7 linked regions of the Nothobranchius furzeri genome follow. The protein of the gene in region 2 interacts with the protein of the main gene of each other region in a pairwise test. Links are inferred from orthologs where the notes say so. Each region holds a gene or a part of one and is shown on either strand. Other genes may lie near its edges. The genes, in order: scly, lnx2a, tubb5, nmd3, serine/arginine-rich splicing factor 11, c16h10orf88 and phykpl.

Evidence for each region.
Region 1: the proteins of lnx2a (region 2) and scly interact in binary tests that used the Homo sapiens proteins (3 or more experiments, as listed by UniProt). The link is inferred for Nothobranchius furzeri from reciprocal best matches to the Homo sapiens genes LNX2 and SCLY.
Region 3: the proteins of lnx2a (region 2) and tubb5 interact in a two-hybrid assay, tested with the Homo sapiens proteins (3 studies listed by BioGRID and IntAct). The link is inferred for Nothobranchius furzeri from reciprocal best matches to the Homo sapiens genes LNX2 and TUBB.
Region 4: the proteins of lnx2a (region 2) and nmd3 interact in a two-hybrid assay, tested with the Homo sapiens proteins (3 studies listed by BioGRID and IntAct). The link is inferred for Nothobranchius furzeri from reciprocal best matches to the Homo sapiens genes LNX2 and NMD3.
Region 5: the proteins of lnx2a (region 2) and serine/arginine-rich splicing factor 11 interact in a two-hybrid assay, tested with the Homo sapiens proteins (3 studies listed by BioGRID and IntAct). The link is inferred for Nothobranchius furzeri from reciprocal best matches to the Homo sapiens genes LNX2 and SRSF11.
Region 6: the proteins of lnx2a (region 2) and c16h10orf88 interact in binary tests that used the Homo sapiens proteins (3 or more experiments, as listed by UniProt). The link is inferred for Nothobranchius furzeri from reciprocal best matches to the Homo sapiens genes LNX2 and C10orf88.
Region 7: the proteins of lnx2a (region 2) and phykpl interact in binary tests that used the Homo sapiens proteins (3 or more experiments, as listed by UniProt). The link is inferred for Nothobranchius furzeri from reciprocal best matches to the Homo sapiens genes LNX2 and PHYKPL.

Annotation. Positions count from the first base shown.
Region 1 is NC_091756.1:60,348,215-60,352,238, reverse strand, and holds the start of scly (selenocysteine lyase), read right to left. Parts: upstream 2,801-4,024; 5' UTR 2,661-2,800; intron 1,302-2,660; 5' UTR 1,295-1,301; coding exon 1,203-1,294; intron 1,118-1,202; coding exon 1,008-1,117; intron 927-1,007; coding exon 826-926; intron 744-825; coding exon 566-743; intron 486-565; coding exon 358-485; intron 247-357; coding exon 91-246; intron 1-90. UniProt on the Homo sapiens protein: Catalyzes the decomposition of L-selenocysteine to L-alanine and elemental selenium.
Region 2 is NC_091747.1:51,103,466-51,107,597, reverse strand, and holds the start of lnx2a (ligand of Numb protein X 2a), read left to right. Parts: upstream 1-1,332; 5' UTR 1,333-1,502; intron 1,503-1,525; exon of another isoform or gene 1,526-1,894; intron 1,895-3,299; 5' UTR 3,300-3,496; coding exon 3,497-3,900; intron 3,901-4,132.
Region 3 is NC_091745.1:74,453,510-74,457,631, reverse strand, and holds the start of tubb5 (tubulin beta-5 chain), read right to left. Parts: upstream 2,801-4,122; 5' UTR 2,701-2,800; coding exon 2,644-2,700; intron 699-2,643; coding exon 590-698; intron 448-589; coding exon 337-447; intron 256-336; coding exon 11-255; intron 1-10. UniProt on the Homo sapiens protein: Tubulin is the major constituent of microtubules, a cylinder consisting of laterally associated linear protofilaments composed of alpha- and beta-tubulin heterodimers.
Region 4 is NC_091753.1:52,720,024-52,723,411, reverse strand, and holds the end of nmd3 (60S ribosomal export protein NMD3), read right to left. Parts: intron 1,665-3,388; coding exon 1,594-1,664; intron 933-1,593; coding exon 799-932; 3' UTR 501-798; downstream 1-500. UniProt on the Homo sapiens protein: Acts as an adapter for the XPO1/CRM1-mediated export of the 60S ribosomal subunit.
Region 5 is NC_091748.1:59,490,342-59,494,369, forward strand, and holds the start of serine/arginine-rich splicing factor 11, read left to right. Parts: upstream 1-1,228; 5' UTR 1,229-1,417; coding exon 1,418-1,539; intron 1,540-4,028. UniProt on the Homo sapiens protein: May function in pre-mRNA splicing.
Region 6 is NC_091756.1:51,770,885-51,774,841, reverse strand, and holds the start of c16h10orf88 (ATPase PAAT), read right to left. Parts: upstream 2,801-3,957; 5' UTR 2,733-2,800; exon of another isoform or gene 2,600-2,732; intron 2,139-2,599; 5' UTR 2,105-2,138; coding exon 1,962-2,104; intron 1,820-1,961; coding exon 1,628-1,819; intron 1,358-1,627; coding exon 1,288-1,357; intron 886-1,287; coding exon 694-885; intron 498-693; coding exon 369-497; intron 1-368. Other genes in the region: asb3 (ankyrin repeat and SOCS box protein 3), read left to right, coding at 3,196-3,406, 3,807-3,957. UniProt on the Homo sapiens protein: ATPase that regulates mitochondrial ABC transporters ABCB7, ABCB8/MITOSUR and ABCB10. Regulates mitochondrial ferric concentration and heme biosynthesis and plays a role in the maintenance of mitochondrial homeostasis and cell survival.
Region 7 is NC_091741.1:97,210,117-97,214,372, reverse strand, and holds the start of phykpl (5-phosphohydroxy-L-lysine phospho-lyase), read right to left. Parts: upstream 2,801-4,256; 5' UTR 2,782-2,800; intron 1,785-2,781; exon of another isoform or gene 1,618-1,784; intron 1-1,617.

The sequences.
Region 1 (4,024 bases), on a different chromosome or scaffold from region 2:
AGAAAAATGTTTCAACAAATAACCTCCCACTAACACTTTTGATCCAATGTTGATCAGGCTGGAAACGTGCTGCGCAAAAGCTTCTCAGACCTTGTGGCCCACTATGGTAAGGTAATCCACTCCCAGTTCCTGGACTTCCACGGAGATTTTGCCCAGAGCCTGAGCAGCGTCGGTGTGCAGCAGGATCCGGAGACGTTCTGGCTGCTTGTTGAGCAGGTCTACTCTTTGGCAGATTTCTTGGACGGGCTAGAAGGAGGAACAACCATCAGTTTTATCAGGTCACTCCAGTTGCACCAGTCAGTTGGTAGAATTGGAAAAAAGACTCAGGATTAGCAACAGCCGGCTGGCTCCTATTACCATTATGACTCCCGTCTCATTGTTGGCCAACATGACAGAGATGAGACAAGTGTTGGGACGAATGGCAGCAATAATATCCTCCACATCCACACGAGCTGTCACCTTAGACACGGGCACAAATGTCACATCTATGACAAAAGCAGGAGAGTCACTTCACCTGAATTGTTACAGAAAGACAATGGTAGTTAGAGGAGGAGTGGCCCCCTACCGGCCTTTCCGTCCGCGAGAAAGTGCTCAGCTGTGAGTTTGATCGAGTCATGCTCCACGTTGGTGGTGACGATGTGAGGAAGACCAGGGCACCCATTTGTAGGTCCTTCACTTTGCTCTGCAGCCCTGCAACTTTTCTTAAAGTGCTCCAAAGCGGTGTGCAGCACCAGGTTATTGGCCTGCAAAGTGAGTAACTTGTTAGAAACTACAAAGAGATGCAAAAAAACTATCATTCTGATCAAAGCCTCGTCCATAATTTACCTCTGTTCCACCCGACGTAAAAACAATGTCCTCTGATTTCCCTCCAACCATTCTGGCCACACTCTGTCTGGATTGACTGATGATGGATTTGGCTGTGGCACCTGAAAAAAAAACATCAAAAGTATGAACATAAAAATGTATCGTCATGCTTACTTATCCTACTTTGGACACGTGGACCTCACCTGCCACATAGTTGCTACTGGGGTTCCCCCAAGCATCACGGAGAGCGTCAGACACAGCCTGAACCACCTCTGGCTCCAGAGGGGTGGTGGCATTATAATCCATGTAGATCCTACAGGTATAGACAGAGCTGTTTCAGCCTTCTTCGGGATGTTTTAATAAAAAAATTGAGAAAGCACCACTTTAAAACGTATTACCGGTCTACATTCATGTCTGGAATGTGATGAAGATCGTGGTCAGTGAAGGTTCGGCCCATCACCAGGGTGATGTCATCAGACTTGCTGGCCATTCTACTCCTAGAAGCAAATACATGGTAGACCATTGTAACATACAATATAGGCATCTTTCCAAAAGATATTAGGTTATCATGTAGGGTTGGGCAATCAATCGAAAAGTTATTATCGAAGGTTCCGACTCTAATCTCTATCGTTTTTCCCATGTGAATAAATTAGATAACAAAAATGAAAAGATGGGAGTAGGTTGGTGACATTCATGTCTGTACCACCCAGCTAGTCACATGACTCAACATAATACACGTGACAGCCCCATCTAGTGGACAGTTTTTTTTTCTGCACATACCTGTAGTTATCGTCCATTTGTCATAATTGAGGTGAAATCCTCAATTTACCACAATACTGAGTTTAGGTCATATCGCCCAGCCCTACTGCAGAACCCCAAATAGGCAGATGTGAAATGAAATATATCTAAAAACCACACATAAGAACACCATTACATTTACTGTTAGGGGATACTTAGATTACTGTGGTATACTAGAATTATTTTACCTTATATTTAACATATTTTAGACGTGATGTTTCCTTGTTAACATTTTATTTCAGATGTCCACAATGATCATAATAAATACCACTCCTGTACTTTTAGATATCGCGAGGAAAAAGCTCTATGCAGCGACTGACTTAATCATATAATTTATTTAAGAAAAGTGTGACATTATGGGGGTAATTTTAATAATACATGTTTTGAAGCTCCTTTCTAACATTAAATGCCAACTCGGCTTGACCTACCCGGCTCTGTTTAGAAATGGTTGATTAATAAATGTAAATGGGGTTAGCTGAACTTCCAAAGTGATTTCCTAATTCTATATGATTTACGCTGTGCCCTCATTGTACTTGTTCTTCATGTTCTTTTGTCTCTTGTTGTTCTCTTTTACTGGACATTTACAAATGTTACATTAACTGCTCCTTTTGAATTTAAGTTTTGAACTTAACATTGTCAAGGTGCCATTTGTAAATTTACTAAATAAAAAATACATGTAAATGGGGCAGTTTTGTTTAAAGACGATAAGAAATGCCTTCAGGTTGTAACTTTTATCCTTCTGGTTGTTGCTGCGACTCATTCTCACTCATCACCGTTCTGTCAACAGTTAGCTAGCATGTGTGCTAAAGTTACGTGTGCTGTAACAAACGCCTGAGCGGATCAACCAGAACAGTGGGGAGGTTCGGACACAACCATGAAGGATCCATGAAGATATTTCAGATAATCAGTGCCCCGTGTGTTTACTTTAGCTACAAGCTAGCTTAGCTAACTCGCCCTTTAGTTCACTTCACGCCGCATCTCCGTCAAAGACGTAAAGCTGCATCACTTGCTTCCACAGACAGTAAAGGCTATGAAGTAGTCTGGGCTTCGTGCCTGACCTTGAGGTAGGATGTAAAGATGTCCTGAACGATGATGTTACCGTCGTGTCAATGATTAGCTAGCTACATATGAGACGCTGCTGCAGAATGACTCGTCTTAAAGGGACACAGCTGTTGTTATCGTCACTGTCCTCCATGGTTCACTCATGGAGACAGACAGACAGACAGACAGACAGACAGACAGACAGACAGACAGACAGACAGACAGACAGACAGACAGATAGATAGATAGATAGATAGATAGATAGATAGATAGATAGACCGTTAAAACACAGACAATTAAAAATGTAACTCCCAAAACAAAAAATAACATCTCCAATTACACACAGACATTACCTGATGAGCTTGTGATTGGTGTCAATGTGCACCATATACTTTGGGCAAGGAACTGTGTACGTCCTTCTCACTACACATCCCAGATGTGTCATTCGAGCAAGTACACCCGCACTGTCCACACGATGCATGGATGCATACAGTCGGTCCCACTGTACTCTATGTCCCTGGGCAAGTAGAGCGCCTCGGACTACCCTGTACCCAGCATCTGGCATGTTGCTCTTAATTACTGTGATAAAATAATCTAGTTCCTCATCACTGCATTTACTGTATGTGGCAGATACAGATATATAAATAAATATATTATTTTCAGACATCCGTCTAAATAGAGTTGCTCTGGATACACCAAGGAGTTTGGTAATGACACTCGTTGGCAGACCCATTTCCACAAGGTGTTCGAAAGCCTCTCGCGACACCGCCAATCGTTGATGGCCACGAGAACCTCTTTCAACGTGTACCGTTTGAAAATATATGTAACTCTCATATAAGCTCTTTTATTATTCATTCTTACATGCTACTCTTTTTATGGGATCATGTTATACTGTCCTGCACAAGCTCTTAAAACAGCTGCAGGAACTCCAAAAGGGAGTGAGACATTGCAGTCTCTTCTTGTACCAGGTTACCAAGGATGTTTCTGCTTATCTTAAGAATTACAAGTTCTTGTGACATGTTAGATCCTGCCTAACGAGGCAATATATATATATATTTACCTTATAAGCTCATTTTATTATTCTATGCTATGGAAACTCGCTCAGATACTCAAGGCCTTCACACAAAGATTAATAGCTGTGTATCTTCTCCTGCACAAGAGAAAGGAGTGTGCACATTCCATCTCCACTCAGTGCCTCTCGGTACCAGTGAATGTATCTTCTCCTGTCATGAATATATCAGGATGTTCCTGGTAATCTCAAGGATGTATGTTCTAGTGATGTATTAAACTGTCCGCTAACAAGGCTGTTATTTTCACCTGTCATGATCATTGACGTATGTACATGGCAAACTGCGTATGTAACATTCCTGTAATCTTCAAT
Region 2 (4,132 bases):
AATTTACGTTAATTTACGAGGCATTTCTTGTTCACTTCGCCGAGAGGTCCTTCAATCGCGGACCCTGTTTTTAGCTGCCCGGAGCAATGCCTGTTCAGTTGCAAAATCATGTTGAAAATAAGTTATGAAACCAAACTACATTTTTTATTTACAAGTAGATATGTTTGTGTATTATGTATTGATCTTTTTTAATTAAAATAATTGATATTTTTAAAAGTTCAATAAGTTATGGGGCACCCCTGGAAAAACATTTACAGCTGATTGTTTTAGCAACATTTGGCCACAAATAACTTTAAAACAAACATAGAATCAAACAAATATATAAACACACTTTGTTAAAAAAAAGGATTTATACTCAAATCGAAACGTAAAATGTGACATTTAAACTTGTACATTTTTTATTTGATTAAACATTTTCCATTGGGAACTAAGCCAACTTAATTCTTTGGTAAATTGTAAAAATAATTTAAATACATACAATGGCTTAATCAAAAGTAAAGTGATAGTTACAGAATATCATCAAGCAAGATATTTTAGTAATCTAGATTGTGATACATTAAAGGACAATAACAAACATTTTTATTTAGAAGTAATCTTCTTAAAGAAGACATATTATGCCTTTTGCATCCTTTTTGTGCCGCCATGTGCACTCTGCCTCTATAAACGCTCCAAACATGCCAATGTGTGGTTGTAGAAATGTTGTGCCTAAAACAAGCTATTTGAAATTGTCCCCAATTGTGACATCACAAGCAGGCCCAGTGCCAATACTCGCATTGCGCCCTGCAGTCTTCAGCAAAGTGCACTTGGAGAAAGTGTGCAGTAAGGCTTCGAGTGCGTGGACTACAACTGTGCAAATAATTGCTGAAGTGAGACAGGGAGCATTGCGTCATGAAACGCAACGCATGCCGAGATGCTGGTCCTGTGATACTTTTTCAAAAGCCTTTATTAACAACTTTTAAACAAACAACCCATTATTTGAAATAAATTTTAATTAATTGCTGCTTTGTCTAAAACATTCAGAGCATCAACTGATTGTCCCAAAACTAACTCATTCCATTAGAAAATATTCAGAAAAGGAACTTGAACCCTTTCTCCTGCAGCAATGACTTGTGGGTAATACACTTCACCCAGCACTGTAAGAATACTTTTGAGGCAGATAATTAAGTATATATTTGTTCTGTTTTTTTCTATTCTATTCTATTCTATTCTATTCTATTCTATTCTATTCTATTCTATTCTATTCTAATTTTTGTTCTGATCCTGTTTTTGAACAGGCGGTCGGTGTAAGCCACCTCTAAACTCAGCTCCGTAGACTCCTCCCATCACCTTTTGATTGGCAGCGGTGGGCGGGATCAGCGGCGCCAACGGTACGGGGGCGTTTTCTTGCGGGCTTGCGGAGCTCTCCGTCGGTTGCGGCGAATGCGTGATCGACGCCCCGCAGCTGATAATTGCTCCCCGCTTTGGGGCCCGAGTGGACGGCGCGGAGGAGCCGCCGGAAGAAGGTAAAACATCCATCACATCTGGAGACATCCATCTCCTGCATGAGCTGTGTCAGCGAGCGGGGTTGATGCTGTCGCCTCTTCTGTCCTGTCCTCTCGCGCCTCCGCTTCTGCAGGATGGGATGAAGTCAGACAGCTGGGGAGGGAGGTGAAAGAGGGGTGCGATGATTTTAATAACGATGTTGACTTAACCGGAATATGACACTGCAGTTTATGCAAGGCAATCTGGGACGACGACACCGGGAGGAGGAGAAAATGCTAGATTTAATCAAATCAGTGTCTGTTTTTGTTGTCACCCCTGCACGTCTGCCTGGAGAAAAACAGACAATTGAAACACACCTTGCAGGCCTCTTCTAAATAAATTTAAAAACATGGATGAAGAGATCGGGTCGAACGTAAGATAAACTTGAGTTTTAAAATCTGTGGCCTAAATTATGATGCCATTTCTGTTGGTTATTGCATTTCTGCACGTGCTAAAACCTTAGTTTGTCATTTGTGTGTAGACAAAATTCTGTCATTCGTTAATACAATACAAAGCATGCATGCATTCATACTTCTGCAGAGGACTATTGTCCTGAAAAAGATCAAAGTGCTTTGAGAGTTCTAAAATCCCAAAGATTATTTTCAGGGCCTGCTGGATAAAGCTCGTGTGCTTGTTTGCGTATGCGCGTGCAGGTTTACGCCTGCATGTCTACACGTCTGTGTGTGATGTGGTGATGTCACAGCTTTGTTACAGAAACAGAGAAGCCTTGTGTCCTCATGATTAATTCATGTCCAGCTGCGGGATAGAGACAGAAGCAGCCAGTCACACACAGACAGGAGCATGTGCTTGAAAAGGAGACAGAAATAAGGGGCTACTGGTCCCGTGGCCAAGGAGACGGTAGGGACAGGTTTGTCAGGAGACAATCTGTGCAGATCAAATCAAACGCAAGAATAGAAATGAACCGGAGGGACTTTCATCCTGCTCTGCGCAGTGTGACGAGCTTTCAGCATCTTGCTGGGAGAAGTGCATCTGTTGTTGCGCCTCCTCTGCATCCTTCGCTGGCTACACTCTGAATGTCAAGCCCCACTGAGCAGAACAGGATGCAGGTCGTCATGGAGACAGGAGCAGACCCTTTGCTGGAACAGAGGCAGGTAGTCACTGTGGCTTGGCCACTGAGCAGGGAGGCACGCCCTCTACTGTCCGCTGAAGGCATCGGGCCCTCTGGGGTGTTGGAGGTCTGGAAGGCTCCGAGTGTGAACTCTTCTGCAGCAGCTCCAGGGACTTCCTCTGTTTGTTTTATTTCAAGACTTTGCTTAAGGCATGTTCTCTTCTTGCTGTGGAGGAGATCAAGTTCATCCTTTGTAAATGGTCCAAGCCAAAAATATCAAGCGCCTAAACTATTTCTGCCTTCATGCTTTGCATTTTTTGTGAAATTTCTATTCCCTTCTTGGCCCTTTCTGTTTTTTTTATTATTTATTTATTTTTTCACAAATCTACCTGACCTCTTTCACCCATCTTCAAACCTCCTTCTCTCCTTCGCGGCTCTGCCCTCACTACCTCCTCCAGCTGATTTCCCAATCCCGCTTTCTCTGATCTGTGTCCTCTCTCTGCTTCAATCCCAGATAATTCCCTCTCGGCGAATTGGAAGATTGGAGTAGGCGAGAGCAAAAGAGAGATTATACTGTCAGATTAGCAGACAGGAGCAGCAACACATAATCTCAGCAGATTCCCACACAGAGTTCGGACTCACGGAGACACGTGCACACAAATCATTTGCCACATGAATAAATTCCCATAATCAGACACTTGTTTTGCAGAAACAGCTGTTGAAGCCTCCTGCTGTGCCCTCTGACCTGCTGAGTAATGCGCCACCGGCCGCTTGAGGGCATTCGTCCTCTCTGCAACCTGTCGAAGCTTATGGGATAGGAGTGCTCCCCGCCAACCCACCTTTCCCATCCCTGCAGCACCACTGGAGCCATTTGTGCCAAAGCTGAACTGTATTGACGGAGAAGCTATGGGCAGCCCAGGCAGTGAAGTGGATGTTGCCGGGCCAGTGGAGCCAGCGCTGGAGGCCCTGTGTCCAGAATGTGGCCAGATCCACCGCAGCTGGGAGAACCACCTGTATAATTACCGCCTGGAGGTGGATGACGACCTGGTGTGCCACATCTGCCTGCAGCCTCTGGTGCAGCCTCTCGACACACCCTGCGGGCACACCTTCTGCGCCCGCTGCCTGCGCAGCTTCCTCCAGGAGAGGGACTTCTGTCCTCTGGACAGGACACGGCTGCAGCTGCAGGCCTGCCGCAGATCCAGTATCCTGGTGCACAAGCTGCTGGACAAGCTGTCCGTGTCCTGCCCTCTGAGCCCTGTCTGCTCTCTCAGCATGCCACGATGTGACCTCGAGGCACACCTCAAACACAGGTAGGAAAGGTACAGACATTATCAATGGATGCATGCATGAAAACTATAAACAACTGTGCATGCATGAATTTAGAGGGTAAACAGCTGCATTTGACTGTAAAACTCTTGATTTTTGAAATACATGAAATAAGATCCTGCGATGGATTGGCTCTCTGTCCAGGGTGTACCCCGCCTGATTGCCCATTGACCGCTGGAGATGGGCACCCCCCCCCCCCCGACCCTACCGAGACAA
Region 3 (4,122 bases), on a different chromosome or scaffold from region 2:
GACGGGTCACCTTGGGGGAAGGCACCACGCTAAAGGTATTCATGATTCGGTCTGGGTACTCCTCACGAATCTTGCTGATGAGGAGGGTTCCCATTCCAGATCCAGTCCCACCTCCAAGAGAGTGGGTGAGCTGGAAGCCCTGCAGGCAGTCACAGCTCTCGGACTCTTTACGGACCACATCCAGGACCGAGTCCACCAACTCGGCCCCCTCTGTGTAGTGACCCTTGGCCCAGTTGTTTCCAGCACCACTCTGGCCTGTGGAAGAAGTGAGACTTTGTTTTCTAAGTTCATACAGATCACAGATATTGTAAAAGGATTTCTCTGGAAGACACTCACCAAAGACGAAATTGTCAGGTCTGAAGATTTGCCCAAAAGGTCCAGACCTCACAGAGTCCATGGTCCCGGGCTCCAAATCCACAAGAATGGCCCTGGGAACATATTTACCTCCTCCACAGGAAAGTGAACGGGAGAGCAGAAGGGAAAAGAGGAAACCGTAACATTTACATCGCAGCTTAGCAATGCAATGGACAAAAATATTATGGAACAGCACATCTTATGTCATGAAAAGCCTTTCAGGACGACGGTCTACCTGTGGCCTCGTTGTAGTAGACGCTGATCCTGTCCAGCTGCAAGTCGCTGTCTCCGTGGTACGTCCCAGTGGGATCGATGCCGTGCTCGTCGCTGATCACTTCCCAGAACTGCAGACAGGAATCACATGACGGGACTCATTTCACTTCTAAGCTACAGGCCTTTTGGGACTTTAAATGAGGATAACAGCAATGGGTTTGCATATTTATATTCTGGAGGATACGCTAGGATTCAAGCAGTTTCCTGCAGAGCAGCTGCAAATATTTCCAAAGCTGCCAGCTCATGACTCTGCAGAAAGCTATGCAACGCTTTCATATGTAAAACGTGAAGGAGGAGGAGCACAAAGGAGCCACTGATCACTCCGAAGGCCAAACTGAAAATGAAAAAGGCGTCTCACACAACACCGAGGACAATGAGGGCCTTTAAATTTGTATTCAAGTCCTGCTCCGGCTTTAAAAGCCCACGGAGCTCTGGGAGGCTGGGTACGCATTAAATCCACTAAGATACTGTAGGAAATCCTCTGCATGTCTGCATTTCCTGCTTTTTTACACATTCACTTAGATTTATGGTATTCAGCTGCAAAATGAGACTTTACAGCCTCCCGTTAACGCCGGCTGCACTGCAGACAAACGGCTGTGGAGTACAAATCTTGACATTTAAATGTCACGAGACGAGGGTGAGCGATGCTAGAGACGCAGAAGTGAGAAGACAGAAACTGATGGACGGCCCATCAGTGATGATGAAGATCACAGTGAAAGAATGAGGACAACGAGCAGGAAAAGCAAGGCCACACCCTGACCCATTTGACCACCGTGCAGCCGCTCAGCATCTCTGGCCGTCATAAATCCTGCACATCGGAGTCGATGAGCCCCCAGGGGACGGAAACAAACGAGTTGGCTCTCTGATAGACCACTCCTAGTAGTTTTAGCCGATCATACAGGCCAAAGCGGTGACCCGAACAAGGGAAAATGATTAACAGTACAAGCTTGATAAAAATATGTCTAATAAAATATAAAGGCCATCTGTTGTGTGCCTTTGGGAAGACAACTATTGCCCATTAAGGCCACTGGAAATGGAGACTTTGCGTCCGCTGTGCATCAGCTGTTTCCTCCATTCCTCCCCCACCCTTCTCTTAATTTGGTTAGGGGAGGAAAGATTCTGCTTTCCAGGACATCTCAGCCAGAAAGATCACCCTTCATTAATCCGGGCTAATGTTCATGGGTTCTTAATTCCAGGGCATGGATTTGAGCGTGTGCATGCGTTTACAAATGATCAGTTGTAAAACAAAAATAAGACAATAAGACAGCAGAAATAATGGGCCACCCAGACCTATTGTTGCAGACTGCGGCTGCTAAGAGACAGACTGGGCGGGTGATGTCATTGATGAACATTTTAGACTTTACTATTAAATGATGCAATGACAAATTATATCAGATGAATAGAATATTATAGTAAATAACACATAAGGGTGTTTTTTTGCAGAAAAAAGGAGAGAATGACTTGTCTTCTCACAATTATTCATGCCACACCCTTCCATCACGTCCCAATAGAATAGCTCACCCTGCAGTCTGCCTTTGCAGCCTGCAGAACTCAAATCTAATCAATATGTGCTATTGATTCATAGACATCTGGGGGTGGGGGGTAACTAGGCCTTTAATCCAGACTTCCACTCATTGTCTGAAACACCAGTCATATCAGCCTGGGCCAGACAAAGCAAGCAGAGTGAAGGCTCCACAGGCTGTGGGGGTCTGACATGAGAAGAAAAGAGTCATTTTCCCCTCTTTCCTTTGTCTTTTTCCCTAAATCAGTGCGTTGAGATGGGCTGAATCCTAGGAGCTGGGACGCAGACACACCCGGTGTTGTGTGCACTGCAGTGCTCACAAAGACTGGACCATTACTACTTTTTTATTTCATTACATATTTATGTAAATTTCTTTATCTTCATCAGTTAATAAATCCATATAACAGTAATTGTGAATGCTTTAGACAAAGTAACGCAAAAGTAACTCCTGTTTTATTCCACAGAAACATTTTATACAGATTTTCTGAGCTTACCTTGGCACCGATCTGGTTACCACACTGGCCGGCCTGGATGTGCACGATCTCCCTCATGATGGGTGCGAAGGTTTCACGGGAAAAAAGGTGCGATGTGATTAAAGTGGACGAGCACGAGCCGACTTGTGACAAGAGACCGGGGGGACAATGGATTTATAAGGCTGGAGCGTCTCCAGAGAGGGGCGCGGCCACGCCCACAACACGCTTCTGCACGCGCCGATTGGCCGAGAGGACCGGCAGGGGGAGGAGGAACGTGTCGGCTGCAGATCAGGGAGTGGGAATTGGAAAAGGAGATTGACCAGAATTTTACCAGCTGGTGTCCAGAAATATGCATTACAGCTGTTTTAGTGTCAGCCGGGGCTGATCATCGCTGCGACTGTGTGAGAAAACAGATGGCAGCAATTCCAGTGTGCAGTTGGGGCAGAATGACAGTTAGCTCCTTTAAACTCTGTCTTTTCTTTATTTTGATAATATACTGAAAACGTTGGTTAGACCAATAAAACAGTATGACTAGATCTGATTGGCTGATTGTGTGTATAGGTGGCACAGATGGGCCCCACAGAACAAAAATGTATAAGTTTGATTTGATGGGCAACTCTTTTTCCTACGTGTGTGTGTGTGTGTGTGTGTGTGTGTGTGTGTGTGATTGGTTGCTTGTCTTGTTTGTCTCCACTTGCATGTCTGTGATGGACTTGTGACCTGTCTACAGTGTCCCATTCCCCTTGCCTGCTCAGTTGTAACAGCTCCTCATGACCCTTACAGAAAAAGGGAGATACAAAAAAAATCAATGAATGGATTTTCTGCTTCACAATCATTCACAAAAACACAACTATCAGCATTATTCATCCATCCATCCATTTTCCATTGGGGGCAGCAGCCTAAGCAGGGAGGCCCAGACTTCCCTCTCCCTAGTCACTTGGGCCAGCTCTTCCAAGGGAATCCCAAGGTGAGAGACATATTCCCACCAGCATGTCCTGGGTCTTTCTTCGGTTCTCCTCCTGTTTGGACATGCCCGGAAAAACCTCACCAGGAAAACATCCAGGAAGCATCCTAACCAGATGCATGAGCTACTTCAACTGGCTCTTTTCAATGTGAAGGAGCAGCAGGTCTACTTCAAGCCCCTCCCAGATGACCGAGCTTGAGCTTCTCACCCTATCTCTAAGGAAGAGCCCAGCCACCCTGCAGAGAAAACTCATTTTGGCCGCTTGTAACCGCAATCTCATTCTTTCGGTCTCCAAAGCTTGTGACCATAAGTGAGAATTAGATCGACCGGTAAATATAGAGCTTCAACATTATTTGACAGAATTAATTACAATTAAACATTATCATCAACATCAAATTATAGTTATAGTTTTCCATCCACCGTGACTTGTTGTTTTAGGATTGATTTGATTTTTTTTATTTCTGTTCTTCATGTATGGACTGCAATGTGCAACAATTGTTTTTATTCAGAATAGCTTTTTCCCGTTCTTTTAGTAC
Region 4 (3,388 bases), on a different chromosome or scaffold from region 2:
TCCATACACCCACAGCGAGAGTTACACTCAGCCTGATCCATTATTTACATATTTTACACATCAGTGAGAACTGCTGAAAGATTTGCAGCCGCGCCATGTTTTTAAACTTTTTTGCATATCGTACAGCTCCTGGTGATATAAACATGTTTAAGAAGTGCAAACATGCGTGTTTGCACTACAAAATACAAACAAGGGGCTGTTCATTTTGTCATTTAAAGCATATTTAAATCCAAGTCGTATCAAGTATTCCAGATTTTACAGACTCCCATTTCCTTTAAACACACCACAGCTGAAGAGGTTTTTGCATATCCTCCACAGTAGCCAAACGACACCATTAACTGACACCATTAACTGACTCGTGTGTGTGTGTGTGTGTGTGTGTGTGAGTGTGTGTGTGTGAGTGAGTGTGTGTGTTTTGAATGTAAAACTTTAAACATTTTTCTAGGACAGAGCTCCCTCTGCTGGTGGGAGCTCCGGTACAGAAAACAAATAAAAATGTGTCATGATGGGTGAATTTTTATTTTGATCACTTTGTTTTCACATTTCATAACATTTACTCATTTTAAAACACCCGTTTTAAATGCTGAGTGAGAGTAGAAACGATACGAGGTGTTTTATTAGACCAGATGTAAAAGTTGAAGCTCTTTTGTAGTGAAAGTGCTTTTTTAGACGACGAGTCCCAGTTTATGAACCTCAGTCAGAATGTCTTCATCATCAAACATCATCGGTTTGTGGCGAGGTCAAAAACGGACATTTGTAATTCACTGCATCATCAGCGCCACGCAGGCGAGCAGCTGGTTATTCGGTCATCATGTCAGCGCCCTCTCCTCCTGTGGCATCTGTCAGACTGAGCTCCTCCATCATCTCCATCAGGGAGATGCGAGGGGCTCCGTCATCATCCGTGTCGCTCTCCACTGGGATCTTGGAGGCATCTGAGGTAAAGAAAGTGTAGTAAATGACCATCTGTTCAGTCTATCTGATTAAACCAGGGTATCTGCAGGTTTAAGGGAGCCAAATTTAAGACTTTTTAAGACCTTTTTTAAGGTCACTTTGACCAAATTTAAGCTATTTTTTTAATTAAATTTAAGCTATAATTTCCAGCTATTGCCTGGAACCGGCGCTAACCACATCGCGAACGTGGGATTAGCCATCCAGTTACCATTAAACTTGCATTTCCCCATGGCGCAAGCTCCCGCTAGCATAACCAGCTAATGTGCTCATCTAAAAATAGCCCCCTTTCACAACCAGTTGAATGTGTGCGGTTCCGCTTACGCCAACATCACACACAAAAAATGCTGAACACAAAACTAGAAATTCACAAAAATTTTATAGAAGTAAAAGAATTTAGTTTATTGGGTCTTTGGTCATTTAAGACCCTTGGAAACTGTATTTAAGGATTATTTGTCATTTTTAAGGATTTTTAAGGCCTTAAATTTGGAAAAGCAAATTTAAGACTTTTTAAGGACCTGCGGATACCCTGTTAAACATATTTGACGGATAATGTGACAAATTCTGAGAACAAACTAAAGAGAGTCAATAAATGAGCCACAGTCTGAAAATATAAACGTAAAAAGCTTTTAAGAAGCTGCTCACCTTTGTAGATGTTGACGTTCTTCCTCAAAGCCTCATCTTCCTCCAGGTCCTCTAGGAAGTCTTGGTATTGTCTGATTAATGGGAAAAATGAAAATAAGAGCCAGTTTATCTGCCACAGAAGATCAAAAACATCCACGGGACATTTTAACTGTTAAAAACCAGTAATTAAAAAAAAAAACGAAGGATTATTGCACCATTTAACCCTTTGATCTGCACTCTAGTGTCACTAAATGTGTGTGTGGGACTAGGGATGGGTACCTTTGACATTTGAATCGATTCGGTACTAATTACCGGTACCTAGGAATCGATACCGGTACTTAACGGTACCAATTTTAGATACTTTTGAGTGTTTAATATTTTAATTCTCTTTTATAATTAAATATATATTTTTCTCAACAATAACCATATTTGATAAATATCACGATAAATAACATACAACTGTTTGTATTTTAACATCGTCCTTGTAGTTTTATAAGCTGATAATTAAACTGAAGCAAACATCTTTACTGTGAACTTAATTTACTGTGTATCTTCATTCCTTTTGCCGTCCTTTTCATTTGATTTTTCCTACTGGGAAGTTAGAATTTCCAAGCAGAAAGTGAACGCACCATTAGCTGATAACAATGGTGACAATGGAAGCTAATATATCAAGCTAACGTTATCTTAAACCGTTTATTTAGCTGCTGGAGCAGATTTAAATGATGATGCCTCACACTTCAATCGTTGTCGCTGGTTTCATCTTCACCCAATCACCCGTCGCATTTAGTAAAGTGAAGCCAAACTTTAGAGCGCGTTCATGTTCTTCTAGTCCGAAATTTGGAGTTCAGAGGAGAAAGCGAACGCTTAAAGGGACTTTACGGAGTTTTGAATTTTTATGCTCGTGATTGCCCCCTCGGGCCAAAAGCGTAACGGCAGCTTCAATAGGAGGCTCGTGCACGAGGTGCGCATGCTGTACGTGCACACTCCTTAACGAAAATAACAGCTGAGACGAAGCTCTGTGAAGCGTCAGCTCTGAGAGCTGACAGTTCCTTTGTGTGTGTGTGTGTGTGTGTGTGTGTGTGTGTGTGTGTGGCCCGGAGGACAGAGGACAGGAGAACGTGCAGCTAATTAATTAAATAATTTGGTTCTGTACCTTTCTCTTCAGCACAGCCGACAAAGGTTTAAGATGGGTCAGTCCTCCTGCATGCTCAGATCATTCCCTTCCCTTGCTTGAAAAATTGTTCCAAAATGAAAGATGAACCCACATCTTTTTTATCTGTGAATTCAATGCCGTTCGGCGAGTTTCAAATAAAAATGTGGGCATCTTACTCTAAAAACAATAAATCATTAATCTAAAAAAGAAACTCTAAAACAACTGTTCACATCCAGAAACGAACCCGGGTCTTCTGCACGAAAGCCCCACATCATACTGGGCGAGCTAAATCGCCAGTGGCGTCTTCTGTATCTGTAACATTTATATCCTTCATGATAGCTGAAACAACGTTCAAACAACGGTTCAGAGGGCGATGCCTGAGCGTGAACACGCATGAAGCAGCCTGCTCGACCCGAGCAACTCTCTTTTTCTGTGATTTTACAGAAAAACAGGCAATCCCAGTAAAAATGCCAGGGCTCATTCTACAGGACCAGGGCATTGCAGGAGAATGTATGAAGAAGACATTTATTATTTCTATACATGTTTTGGCTGTCAAACTTTCATAATGCCCCTTTAAGATGAGGATGTCTCACTTAGATCGTTGTCGCTGGTTTCATCATCACCCAGTTACCCATCGCATTTAGTGAAGTGGACCCAAGCTTT
Region 5 (4,028 bases), on a different chromosome or scaffold from region 2:
ACCAACGGTCCATATTTTTTTCAATCAGGAAAAACATTTATGTATTTGGATTTCACAATGAGTGTAAACTATTAAAAAAAAATAAAAAACAACAACAGAATAGAAATGCAATTTTTTTCACTGGTTGTTCTTTGTCTAAATAAACTTTAATTAAAATATTTATAATCTGTCATTTGATTTGATACCACATACCTACCTACTATCTATAAGGGATTTACATGTTATATTTAGCTCAACTGGATGAAAACACAACTCAATCCTGTCAAGGGGAAGGATTCTGCTCTCTAGCGGACATAAACTGTTACTACAGGCAATGTTTATAAAGCTAAACAAGACACAACCAACTAGCTTTTCCTGTACGTTCCTTCAAAATAAAACGCACATAAAATACTTTGGGGTTTAAATGAGGGTGAACAACATAGTTGTTCTAAATAACGAGAATGTCAGAACGCATTCCCTTATAAAAACTACTTAACTACTGAAACTTAGTAAATCCATTTTAATTATTTGTGTTCAAAAAGGTTAATTCGACCAGCGCAGCAAGAGCTATCACCAGCTAGCTAAAGCGCTACAAACGTCTCAAATCATACGCTCTCTAGTGGCAAGAAGGTGAAGCGCAGGAATTTTAAACAATACAGTAAATTAAGTTAAAACTTTTAGCTTAAAAGTAAATAAATATAAGAAGTTACAAACTTTTAACAGCATGGGTTTATATTTTTCTAATTAAACATGTCAGATATAAAACTGCAGAAAAGTCATGTCACATTATGGCCAATTCTTACAGAAAATATCCATCCATCCATCAATTTTCGGCCGATTTACCGGGGTCGGTTCCGAGGTCGTGGGGACAGACGCGACCCCGAAAATATACAGAAAATATATTTTGCTAATATTACATTCAGTATACTGTCTGTATTTATGTTGGAGCTCTCTTACATAAATAGGTTATCTATTGACATGTTACAAAAGCCTTATTGTGAGTAAGAGTGACTTTGAAATGCGTTTCATTAACATTTATTTTTGTTGTTTTTTATTTTACTTATGTTTAAAATGTCCATATTTACGAAGTTAAATCTTTTTTTAAACCTTAGTGGGGTTGTACATTGTAATAACACGCTATAACCTACGAGTGTTCTACTTTTATAACCTAAACAGAACCGGACAAGATTTCATTAAAGAAAGTCTAAAATACCAGCGTAAAACACGACACCTGAAGGCAGCACAGCAGCCTCCGTAGTCACGACAGTTGCGGCCATTTGGCAGCTGCATTGTTACCCATCGCATTTTTCATCAACATCCTTTTATCTGGGGGAAGACATTTCTTGTATTCGCTTGATGAATTTGACTCTGTTAATATTTGATACTTTGATTCTAACTTCAAACTTAACTGCTTGCTTGTTTTTACTGCTGTGTAAAAATGAGTTCTAACACGCACGTCATTCAGGTGACAAATGTTTCTCCGAGCACAACGTCCGAACAAATGAGGACTCTCTTTGGATTCCTCGGAATCATAGAAGAGCTCAAACTGTTTCCACCTGAGTGAGTATCCTTGTGCTTTGCTCAGGTAAAGCTTTCCCAGCCCACAGACGGGGCTTCCGGAGGCCTAAAGCGACAAGCAGGCCTCGCTGTCTGCTAATGCTAATATTTACCCGCGCCTCCAGTCGCTCCTCGATCATAACACGCTTCGGGTAAATAAGCTTAATGCTAGAAAAACATTAGGGTTCCCAAACGGTTATTTAAATATCTCTTAACTGAAGTTTGAAACAAAACTTAACGTCTTGGAGAAAATTTGGCATAATATATTCTTGAATTTTATTTGGGTTATTTTTTAATAATAAAGAAAATACGAACGAGATATTGCAGTTTAGACATTTAATTTGATTCAAAAGGATTGTTTCCCACGTTGAGTCCACTACCTGCATGCTTACTGTGTTCCTGCTTTAGCACACGTGGTACAAATTGAGTTAATTAGCAAAAAACGTGCAGCAGAGGTAAATCATTCAATTAAATCGGGTGTTCTGAAGCAGGGGCGCAGCAAAGGTAGCGTTCACCCTAGGTTGGTGCCTGCAGGGACGAAATTTTGATTTCAGAAGTGGGGGGGACACAGCAGGCTTGTGCGGATTTGGGGTGGGGGGTGTTATGTAAAGACCCCTTGACACGTCACGTGCCCATCTCAATAATTTTTCCATCCTTATTGAAGTGCAGTTTTGGCTGTTGACAATGGATAGGCCATTGTATTTATTGTTTTGGGTCTTTTTTTATTGTTTTTGGTGCAACATTTTCTAACAGGGAGTGAGATTCCTTTTTTATTTAATTTTTGTTTGTTATTTTTATTCATTTAGAAGTTCTGGTTCTGGACATTTCAATGTTAAATGAAGGTTTCTTTGTTGCATTTTAAAGGGTGTACTTGCATTATTATGATATATTAACATTATATTAGTGGTTATTTTGGTCTAGATAATGTTGACAATATCGTTTATCATCAACAATTTGTTGGACAAAATATCATCCAGCAAAATGTGTTACTTTCCCAGGCCTAGTCAAAAGTATAAAAATTATTTATACATAAACGGTCCCTCCTGAGTAGGGCTGCAACAAACGATTATTTGGATAATCGATTAATCGGATGGGGTCTCGACACGATTAATCGGATTACATAGGGACATTTTTTAAAACTGCTAGGGAAACGTTATTTTTCTCCTTCCTTCCTTCACTTAAACACATTATTAGAAAACAGTTCAATAGCAGAAAACCAACATGCCATCACCTAAATTGTCTTATAAGGTGTATAGACAGAGACCTTAAGCTACACCTATCTGTGACCTAAAATGCTTGGTCCAAGTTAAACAGCTTAAAGAGCAAGTCAACCCCTACCAGAGTCTAACTCCACTCCCGCTTCATGTTTGAAAAATGCAACACATGCTGTTGCCTGGCAGACCGAGAGGGCGGAGCCGCTAACAAATACACACACACTCAGGCTCACGACAGCATTGTGACATCATAATGTACCAGTTTACATCATAGCATACTTCTTAGCCAATAGCGGTGGCAGATTTAAATTAAAATACAGTGCAGAGTTTTTACCTGACAACGGCACAACACTGCCAGTTTTAGGCAGAATATTTAAATTTTAACTAAGATGCACTGAAGTGCCAAATTATTGACGACACGTGTCTGCAGCACGATTAGACACTCGTTTATTTAGTTTATCAGCAAAAAAAAGTTTATTTGGGGGTGACTTGCTCTTTAAGGGCAATTCTCATCTGTTTTGTTTGATCTCATCTGTAGACATTTATTATAACTGGGGATGTCAAACAACTAATTTTTAAATGAAATTAAACATAGGCTGTGAATTAATCACTATTTCCAAAAATGACTGAAAAATACCAAATAAAACAAAAGTAAATGAATGCCATCCTCCTTGTGATGATGCCCTGGGCAACTGCCTTAAAGTCACATCAAGAAATGCTGCTGATCATTCCAATGATCCCAAATAGACTCACATTAGGACACATGAAAGCAACTGAACCCAAAAATATATTAACCAGTATATAACTACACGCACACAACACGCCTGCAGCAACAGTTAGGACTCCTCCCTCCCTTTTAAAAGCATTTTCGCTTGTGAGGACACTGTGGTTGTAAAACCACATGTTAGTAGTCTGGCCCCGGTGTGATCAACCAGTTTCTGCGGGAATGTGACGGCGGAACCGGTTCGCAGCGGCGCGAGTCCTCCCCCCCCCCCCCGCCTATCTAATAGCGTCGCGCTTACAATTTTATAGACTTTTTTTACGAGCTTAGGGCATGTCTAGCCTGTAATAATCCGGGGCTTGGGTGAATCACTTTTGAAAAGTTTTTTACTTACCCGGACACCGAGCTCTCTCCTTCCTCGCTGATGATTCTGACATGCTTGCGTTTAAGACGCTGCATCATCACCGTAGTATCCCCGTGCCATGCTAAGTCTGACCTACAAACGTTGCATGTCTTCGCCTGATTTAACTGAAAATGCTCCCAAACTTTAGAAGTTT
Region 6 (3,957 bases), on a different chromosome or scaffold from region 2:
GCACTCCCCTCCTCTACAGAGAACCTCTCTCGAGCCTGAACCCTCCTCAGGCCTGACCACCTCCCTCTCCAGCTCCAGTCATCCCTCCACTAAATCGACCACCATGTCACGTGACTGTACAGACCCTCGCCTCACTTCGACGGCGCTCCCTTAGTTCTCCTTTTAAACCCTCTTCCTTTGATTCTGTATGTCCTGGATCATAAGACTTAGCCAGAACATAACCGTTCTAATATAAATAATAACAAAAGTCATTTAAACAGAATATTGGCCTGAAAAAATTAGTAACAGTGAATGATGAAAGGATGTAATTTCAGTTCCAGTGAGAGATCAGAGTTTTTCGGGTAATAAAAAACAATCAGCACCCATACCAGGAAGCCTGATGGCTGAGGAGGATTCCTGAGAGCTGACGTAGATGCTCCGGTTCCTCCAGCTAAGGCAGACAAAGCTCCACCGCCCATCAGAAGAGGCAGGAACCCACTCAGAGAGCTCATCTGATTCTGGAAAAACACATTTCTGTTTCAACGCAGCTCTTTTTTTGTATTATTCCCTGATTTTTCATTGATCTGAGTATCAAAGCTGATGTAACTGTAAAATGTTTTTAAGAAGGATGTCAGTTTAGCAGGCAGGAATCAACACATCAAAGAGGACGGAGCCAAAGTGGTACCATGAGCTCAGAGAGGGTCAGTCTCCCACCTTCTGCTGGAACTGCACCATATCCAGGAGGTTTTGGGCTCCAGGAGACAAACTTGTTCCCATCTCTTCAACCAGACACTGCACCTGCTGCAGGTCTATACCAGGGCCATGAGCCGGGCCAGGCTGAAGCTCCTGAAGGCCCACAACAACACGACACACCACAACACTACTTCTGCCTGCTAGGGACAGCAACTGGGAAAGCAGCCAGAGAAATGCAGAGCCAGTTTAAGAATCAAATCAAACTTATTTAAAAATTAAATTAAAATATTGCTCAATCCAATTTTTCTTTAGGATAATGCAAAACTATGTTCAGTACTTGTGCAATACCTGATTTATATAGTATGTCTGTGTCCCTTACAATATGCTGCATAGTTCTGGAACCCAAATTTTTCATTTTTATTTGTGGTTTTTAGTGGTTAAATGTTACAATATGTGTATATAAATGTACCTTTGTTATTATTTTTCTTCAAATGATTCTCTTAAGTGTTGGTGCTGCTGTAACAAGTGAATTTCCCTACTGTGGGATCAATGAAGTCTATTCTAATACATAAAAACACTGTACTGATGCAGAATCTTAATTTTGGCACGTCTCACCTTCACTTCACAAGCTGATGATGGATGCTCAAGGATCAGCTGCTTCTTGTAAACAGGACCTCTGTCTTCACTGTGATCCACAGGAACAGAGATCATCAATTAGTTGACAAACTCAAAAAATACTACAATATCTTTTGAAGGCTTGTTAGGCTGTATTTTTAGGGGTCTCTTTAGAGAGCATGAGTATAAATATTAGATATCTAAGATTTCACAAACACTTTGAGATGTATAAAAATTAATATACCCCCTAGAATGGGGATATAGCTGTAAAATCTGAAGTGGTCATTTAAACAGCTGCACAGTGTTCTGCTTGCTAATATTTCAGTGTGGGTTCATCTACCCAAGCTGGATTGTTTTATCCTTTATGCCTCGCACTGTCCCGCAGTATTCTTCCATCTGGTTGTACACCTCCATGGTTCGAGCCTCGCTGACGACCATCAGGCGGCTGATGGTATCAGAGCTGGACCTGCAGCTGAGAGTGAGGATGCAGGGCGATCCTTCCTCCACCTGCTCCAACTGCGCAGAAACAACCCTGCAAAGATCGCAAAAGGATAAAGCACCATTCATGGCAAACATCAATCTTTCCATCCTCTGCTGGTAGAAACACATTTGCTTGCAAAAGAAAGCATGCACACCCAGAAATACACATGTTGCCTTGATAAAAGGCTTCCAACCTGTCAGTCTCTTCTTTCTCCGTCAGACTAAGATCTTCGTCTTCACTGTCTTTTGTGCTGAGATGAACAGGAAGAAGGATATCTGCCAGGTCATGAGTCTGACACACCCAAGCAGCTGCTCTTTTTACACTGATGTCCACCATGATGCTACCGGTGGGGCTGCAGGTGGGATGTTACCTTAAGCACAAGAGAAAAAAGACACAACTGAGAAATATTCTGCATTAAGTCCAAATAATAACAGAGTATATGTAGGGATTCTGAAGGAAATGTTAGACAGTTTAGAAAAATTAGATTCAGCAGCGTTTAGTTAGCCCTTTATTCAAGGACATAATCAAATGAGTGCCTGAATACAAGCTGCTTATAATATTATCTTTCTTATTAATGTGGCGTTATCTGAATAAACACGAAGTGATTTACATACGCTGGCCAGAAATAATGTGGTTGAATGAAATACATTTTTTTAAAACGGAAAATAACAAGTTGCTCCCCAGAATGAAAAAAGCACCAAAATGCTGTAAGAGCATTTGAAGGGTTGCAGTTTTATCTCTACTTCTAAACAAAAGCAGAACTGAACCAGATTTTAGTTCCTTCATCGTGCAGCTAGCTAACATTAACGTTAACAATAACGGGCTGTTTACAGTAAAACTGCGTCAGCTGAGACAAAATCGGCTTCAGTCAGGCTTTCCTTCCTCTCATGTCTCCAGGCGTGATTAAAAGCGTCCCTGGGCCGAGCTTTCAGAGAGAAATAACAAAAATAAACTGAAAATTTACCTAAGTAATCTGAAGCATTTGTGACGCTGTACCACGCGACGGAAAAAAAGGTACGTCATCAACCAGCGACTCAGTCCACCCACCAGCACTTTTGTTTTGGTAAGAAAATCCCTTTATTTTTAACAACCCAATGAATTTAGCGAGTATTATTGCACATTAAGTAGACGTGTTTTTGAGTAAAAGATGCTCAGTTAGTGTAGCCTTGATAAACTATGTTGTTTTGTTATTACCTTGTGTTTGATGCTTTCAGTCCAAAATAGATTCAACCAATCGTGTTATATATTATTCTTTAATTCTAACAACAAATGTGAACTATTGTGATTTAAGTGGTCATTTCAACACTGTCTAAGCTAGGGTAGCTTAACTTCAGGATCTCTGAAGGACTTTAGCTTTCTCTTTTCTTCTTCTTCTCTTTCATTCATTTTCACACTTTTGAAAAACTGCCTGTTTTCTAAAGCAGAGAATGGACTTCACAGAGTGCTACGCAGACACTGTGTCCCGTGTTGCTGCTGCCGCCCGTTCAGGCAGCAGAAGACAGCTGAGGAGGCTGATGGAGAGAGGGTTCAGTGTGGATGCTCGAGATAACCGCGGCTGGAATGCTCTGCATGAGGCGTCTGCAGCTGGCAGTAAGGAGTGTGTGCTGGAAATATTATCTGCCGTTAATTGTAAGAAAGGTATGGTAGCTTTTTTTTCTTATTCGCTAAAGTTAATAAAATGGCAACGTTCGACAGATATAATTTGGTGTTTTTGCACAGCCACTCTGACATAAAACTCAAGAGGAAACTGATTGTTAGACAAAAAATGTATTTGAAAGTGATTTCATCCAAATTTCACTAAAGTTGCTGAATTTGAGCTTCTGCTGGCTTCACCTGTGACTATGTACTTGATTAGAGTTACTGTGTTTTAATTGTTCATAACTGACACACATAGCTTGGGCTCTGTGTTGAAATGAATGCAGACTCAGGTTATTGTGTTATTTCCACCAAAAGTGGGTTGTGATCAGATTTTAGAGTCGGGTCTGCATTTCATGTTGATTTCTCATTCTATGGTGTCCACCCATCTCTCTGTGTGTAGGATGTTTCTCTAGAAGTCGTGATTTTGTGAACTCTTTGACTCATGAGGGAGAATCTGCGTGTTACTTGGCAGCGCAGAGAGGTCACCTGGCAGTGGTTCGACTCCTCCTGAAAGCACATGCCGACATTAACCAGCTGACTAATGACCTGTC
Region 7 (4,256 bases), on a different chromosome or scaffold from region 2:
GTGCACGAGCAAATAAGCAAGCTTTCATGTGCACAGATTTTAAATCATTTTATACTAAGTCTTAAGTGGAACTATCCTACACTTGCCTCTCAGTAGTCTTGCATATCGAACAAAACATGAAAGTGAGCATTTACTGAGACATGCTTTGTGCTTACATGATACATGCAAATATTCCATGTTTCACTCTCCAGTGAGAGGCTGCAGTAGGCTGCTGTCGGATCCTGATCTCTTCATCTAAAACTGAATGAGAACTCTTTAAACCTAGCTTGATGTGGAGTCAAACACTGAAGTAGCCTAAAATCTGTAGGTTCTCTCCAGTACACCAAACACAATACATTCCAGGATAAGCCGTAACCCCCGTAGATACATAAACACGCAGCCTGTTTGTGTGGATCAACTCTGTTGTCAGAGGGAAGTTGTGGTTGTAACTGCTAAACTTGTATTTTCTTTTGTCTGCGTGGAACTTCTGTCCTTGTTTTGACGTCAACACACATTGGCCACATTAATACTGATGATACTGTTAACGTACCACGCCTTAAGCCTCGGTGCTCTGGTTATTTCCCAGCCAGACACTTTTGTAGTCTTCGTTTGCACTGATTCAGATAGGTTTGAATGCGTGGAACGATGCACTGGAACAGATGATTGAATAGCTGAATCTGGGCTGCAGCTGGACTCTCTGGCACACCATAACACAATGTACAGCGATGAGAGTGAGCGCACATGTCCAGCCAGTACTGTGTGTGTGTGTGTGTGTGTGTGTGTGTGTGTGTGTGTGTGTGTGTGTGTGTGTGTGTGTGTGTGTGTGTGTGTGTGTGTGTGTGTGTGTGTGTGAGATTGGATGTGGTGATGCAGATGACCTGGTGGCCTTTCAGAAAAGATTTTTGTGTTTTACAGATGGAAGTATACTTGTTGCACAATTTATGTATGAATAAAACTTAATAGAGATTGCTTTCTTTTTCTTATTTGCTAACAGTCCTTTTGCCTTGTTTTTGTAATTAAATCACCCAGCCATGAGAGAAGGTCATTAGGGTAGGTACCACGCCTAGTGGTGAAAAAGCAGAAGACTTGCATGATGAATGAGACCAATGGACCGAGTTTAAATCCACATTAAACTTGAATAACACATTTAGACATAAATTGTAATCGTCTATTAACAAAGTTACATTTATATTCATGTTCGTGTCGGATTTCCTTCATGAGCTTTTGGTCCATGACCGGGCGACCACTCATATCTGATAAAAATCGAACTTTAAAATTGCCCAAAGAAATCTTTAAATGAAAAAATAATTCCATTGAAAAGATGCAAAATGTGACCATAAATCTGTAAATTCCTAGCTGATCTTAACTAAAATTAACTAAAAAGTGCCTTTACCAGGAACACTAACGATACGTTTTAAAGACTTTTTTAATGTCCAAACTGTTAAACTAAATAATTAAAAGAGATCAAGTTTCATTTCAGTGAGTCTGATTTGAGACTTGTTGCTTCAAACCCACCCCGAGTCACGAACGCAGCTAAAGTTCTACACCAACCCTGCGGCTCGTTGAGCTGAAGTTACACCAGACAAGACTTTGGCGTGTCTGACATATTTCGTCGCTCCGCCGTGGAAGGTGAGGGCGCTCCTTCCAGTGCTTGGACGCTTCTCTGTTTTTTTTTCCCCAGCCTGTCTCTGACCCCCCCTCACCAACAAGCCACTTCCTCTTTTGTCTAATTTCATGGCGATCGGGAGAGAGGGAGCACCGACGCACGCACACTGTTTCGCCACTCTTCAAAGAGTTGATTTGGGGTAAATAGTCCTCGTTTTTTCCCTCTTTTCGGTACTGGAGACCAAGCGTATTCAGTTGGATTTAATCTAGCTGGAGATGAACATTTCCCAGCGCAGTTCTTTATTTGCTCAGCTTCTGGGTCAGATATTTCACATTGTAGCGCCACTCGCTGATAACAAATCGGACGAAATGGGCTCCCCCTCTCTGCCTGCTCCGCTCCCACAGACTCAGCCACACGCTACTTAACGGCGCAGGCAAGCTAACGCTAGCATCGCTGCAAACGTCTCAGATATGAATAGAAAATAAGTTCCGTGGACATATTTATGAGTTGGTCGCAAGAAATAATAATGATGTTGTTGAGAGTTAGAAAGTTGGAAGGTTGAAAGAAATAGTTGTAGTCCCCAGGTGTTTGGGTTCGGGTTAGCAACCAGCGGGTAGCTAGCCGCCGTGCTATGTTTTTAGTTAGTTGACTCAAACGCGGTTCAGAAGTTTGTGTTTGTTACATTCCTTCAGAACAAAGATGCCGAACTGGGCAAAAATTACGTAAACCACCCCAAAAATACATATAAAGCTTGCACTTGCAGATAAAATAACCAGCAAACATCTCAGGAACCCGGTGTCTGTGGAATGGACTAGAAACTAGCTAGTTAGCACCGTCAGCTAACTTGTGGGTTAACGGTAACCACTTGGCCACCGTTTAAAAATATCCATTCATTACGTATTTCCACATTACCTCCTGATTCTGAGCGGTTGGGACACAGTAACTGTTAAATTCTATATCGAGTGAGGCGTGAAAGCCAAACTAAAGTTTACCAAAAAGTTGCAAACCAGAAAACAACAGCAGGCGAGAAAGTTGAATGAGTTTGCTCTAAAGATGTCCATCACTAACGGTTGCAGGCTGCTCGTTCTGTCTGCTGTTAATTTTACATTTAGTCTAGTTTAGCTGCAACAGTCTAACTGTTTTGTTTGAAGAATAATTAAAAAAGTTACACTTGAAGAATTCTGAGTATCACTTACATGAGTTTTTGTCTTTATGCTGCTGAGGTACAAGTTGTTCTTTTGAACTTTCACCCACAAACAAATTGTATAATCATAATAATGTTAATGTTAATAATCACAACCCTTCTGTGTGTTTAGGTGTCTGAACAAGTGTTAAACATAATATAAGAAACATTTTATTACATCTTTCTGGGTTCCCACATTAACAAAATATCAAACTGATTATAAAGAAAATACTCAATTGTACTATTTTATTACAGCTGGGAGAGAAATGATGGAAGAACAAGTGTACATACAAACTTTAGAATGAAACTTTCTCCCTAGAAGCATAGGTACCTAAATTGATCCAACACTATTATTCTCATATTCTTGATAAATATTAAAATGAATAATGATTGGAGTTGAACAGCATTTTGTTTTTGGACAATATCACAAATTAAGTTATGATTTCTGAGAAAAGAGATGGCAATGAAACACAAAAACCAAATAAATGATGCTTTAAATGGAAATAATTGTTCTGAAATCACACAGCAGATCATTTCTATAAGCTAAAGTGGTCTAGAGAGCACACATTAGTTAGTTTTATTAATCAAAAAGTTTTGATGAATTCTTTGTTTGCATGATGCTTAAAAATCATGAAGTGTTTTTGTTTGCTCACCTGCAGAGCTGCCAGCTGTATAACACTGTTTACTTTTTGCTTTGTTGACAGCCTAAACTAAGTTATAGACCTGACTGGCACACCACACGACGTTCTCCAGGTGAGTTTTGGTATCACAGATAAAGATTTATGGTGTTGTAATTAGGGATGCAACGATACCACTTTTTTTCCAAACCAATACGATATCGATACTTGGATCTGAGTACTCACCGATGCCGATTACCAATAACGATACTACTACCACACAAAAAAATGCAATGATTTGAATACAGATTTTATTTTCTTCTCTGCTTTCAACAGAGAGACTGTGAGGTAGATAAAAAGTAAAATATATGAATGGAAATCATAACAAAACTAAAATATTAGGTGAACAGAAATGACAAGTTACAGTGAAGCCATTTTCAAGCAATTGCATTGGTATTGGTTAACCTTTACCGATGCCGATACCAGTATCGTATCGGTGCATCCCTAGTTGTAATTAAGATTATACACACACACACACACACACACACACACACACACACACACACACACACACACACACACACACACACACACACACACACACACACACACACACACACTCTCTTAGTTACTCTTTACTATTATTCACCTGAGACAGAATAAAACATTTCACAAAGAGTAATCTTTATTTAGCCTCTTGATTTTGGTCACAGATCCCCTAAGGCACTTATGGACCAACTATATTTCAGAAGTATTTTTTTTAGCGTTGAACTGACACTACTGAGGTGGTTTTTTCATCCTTTCATCTGTCCATTGGGTCATTTTTGTCTCGTAGGGACTCCAGAGTGGAGAAATGCTTTATGATTGCATT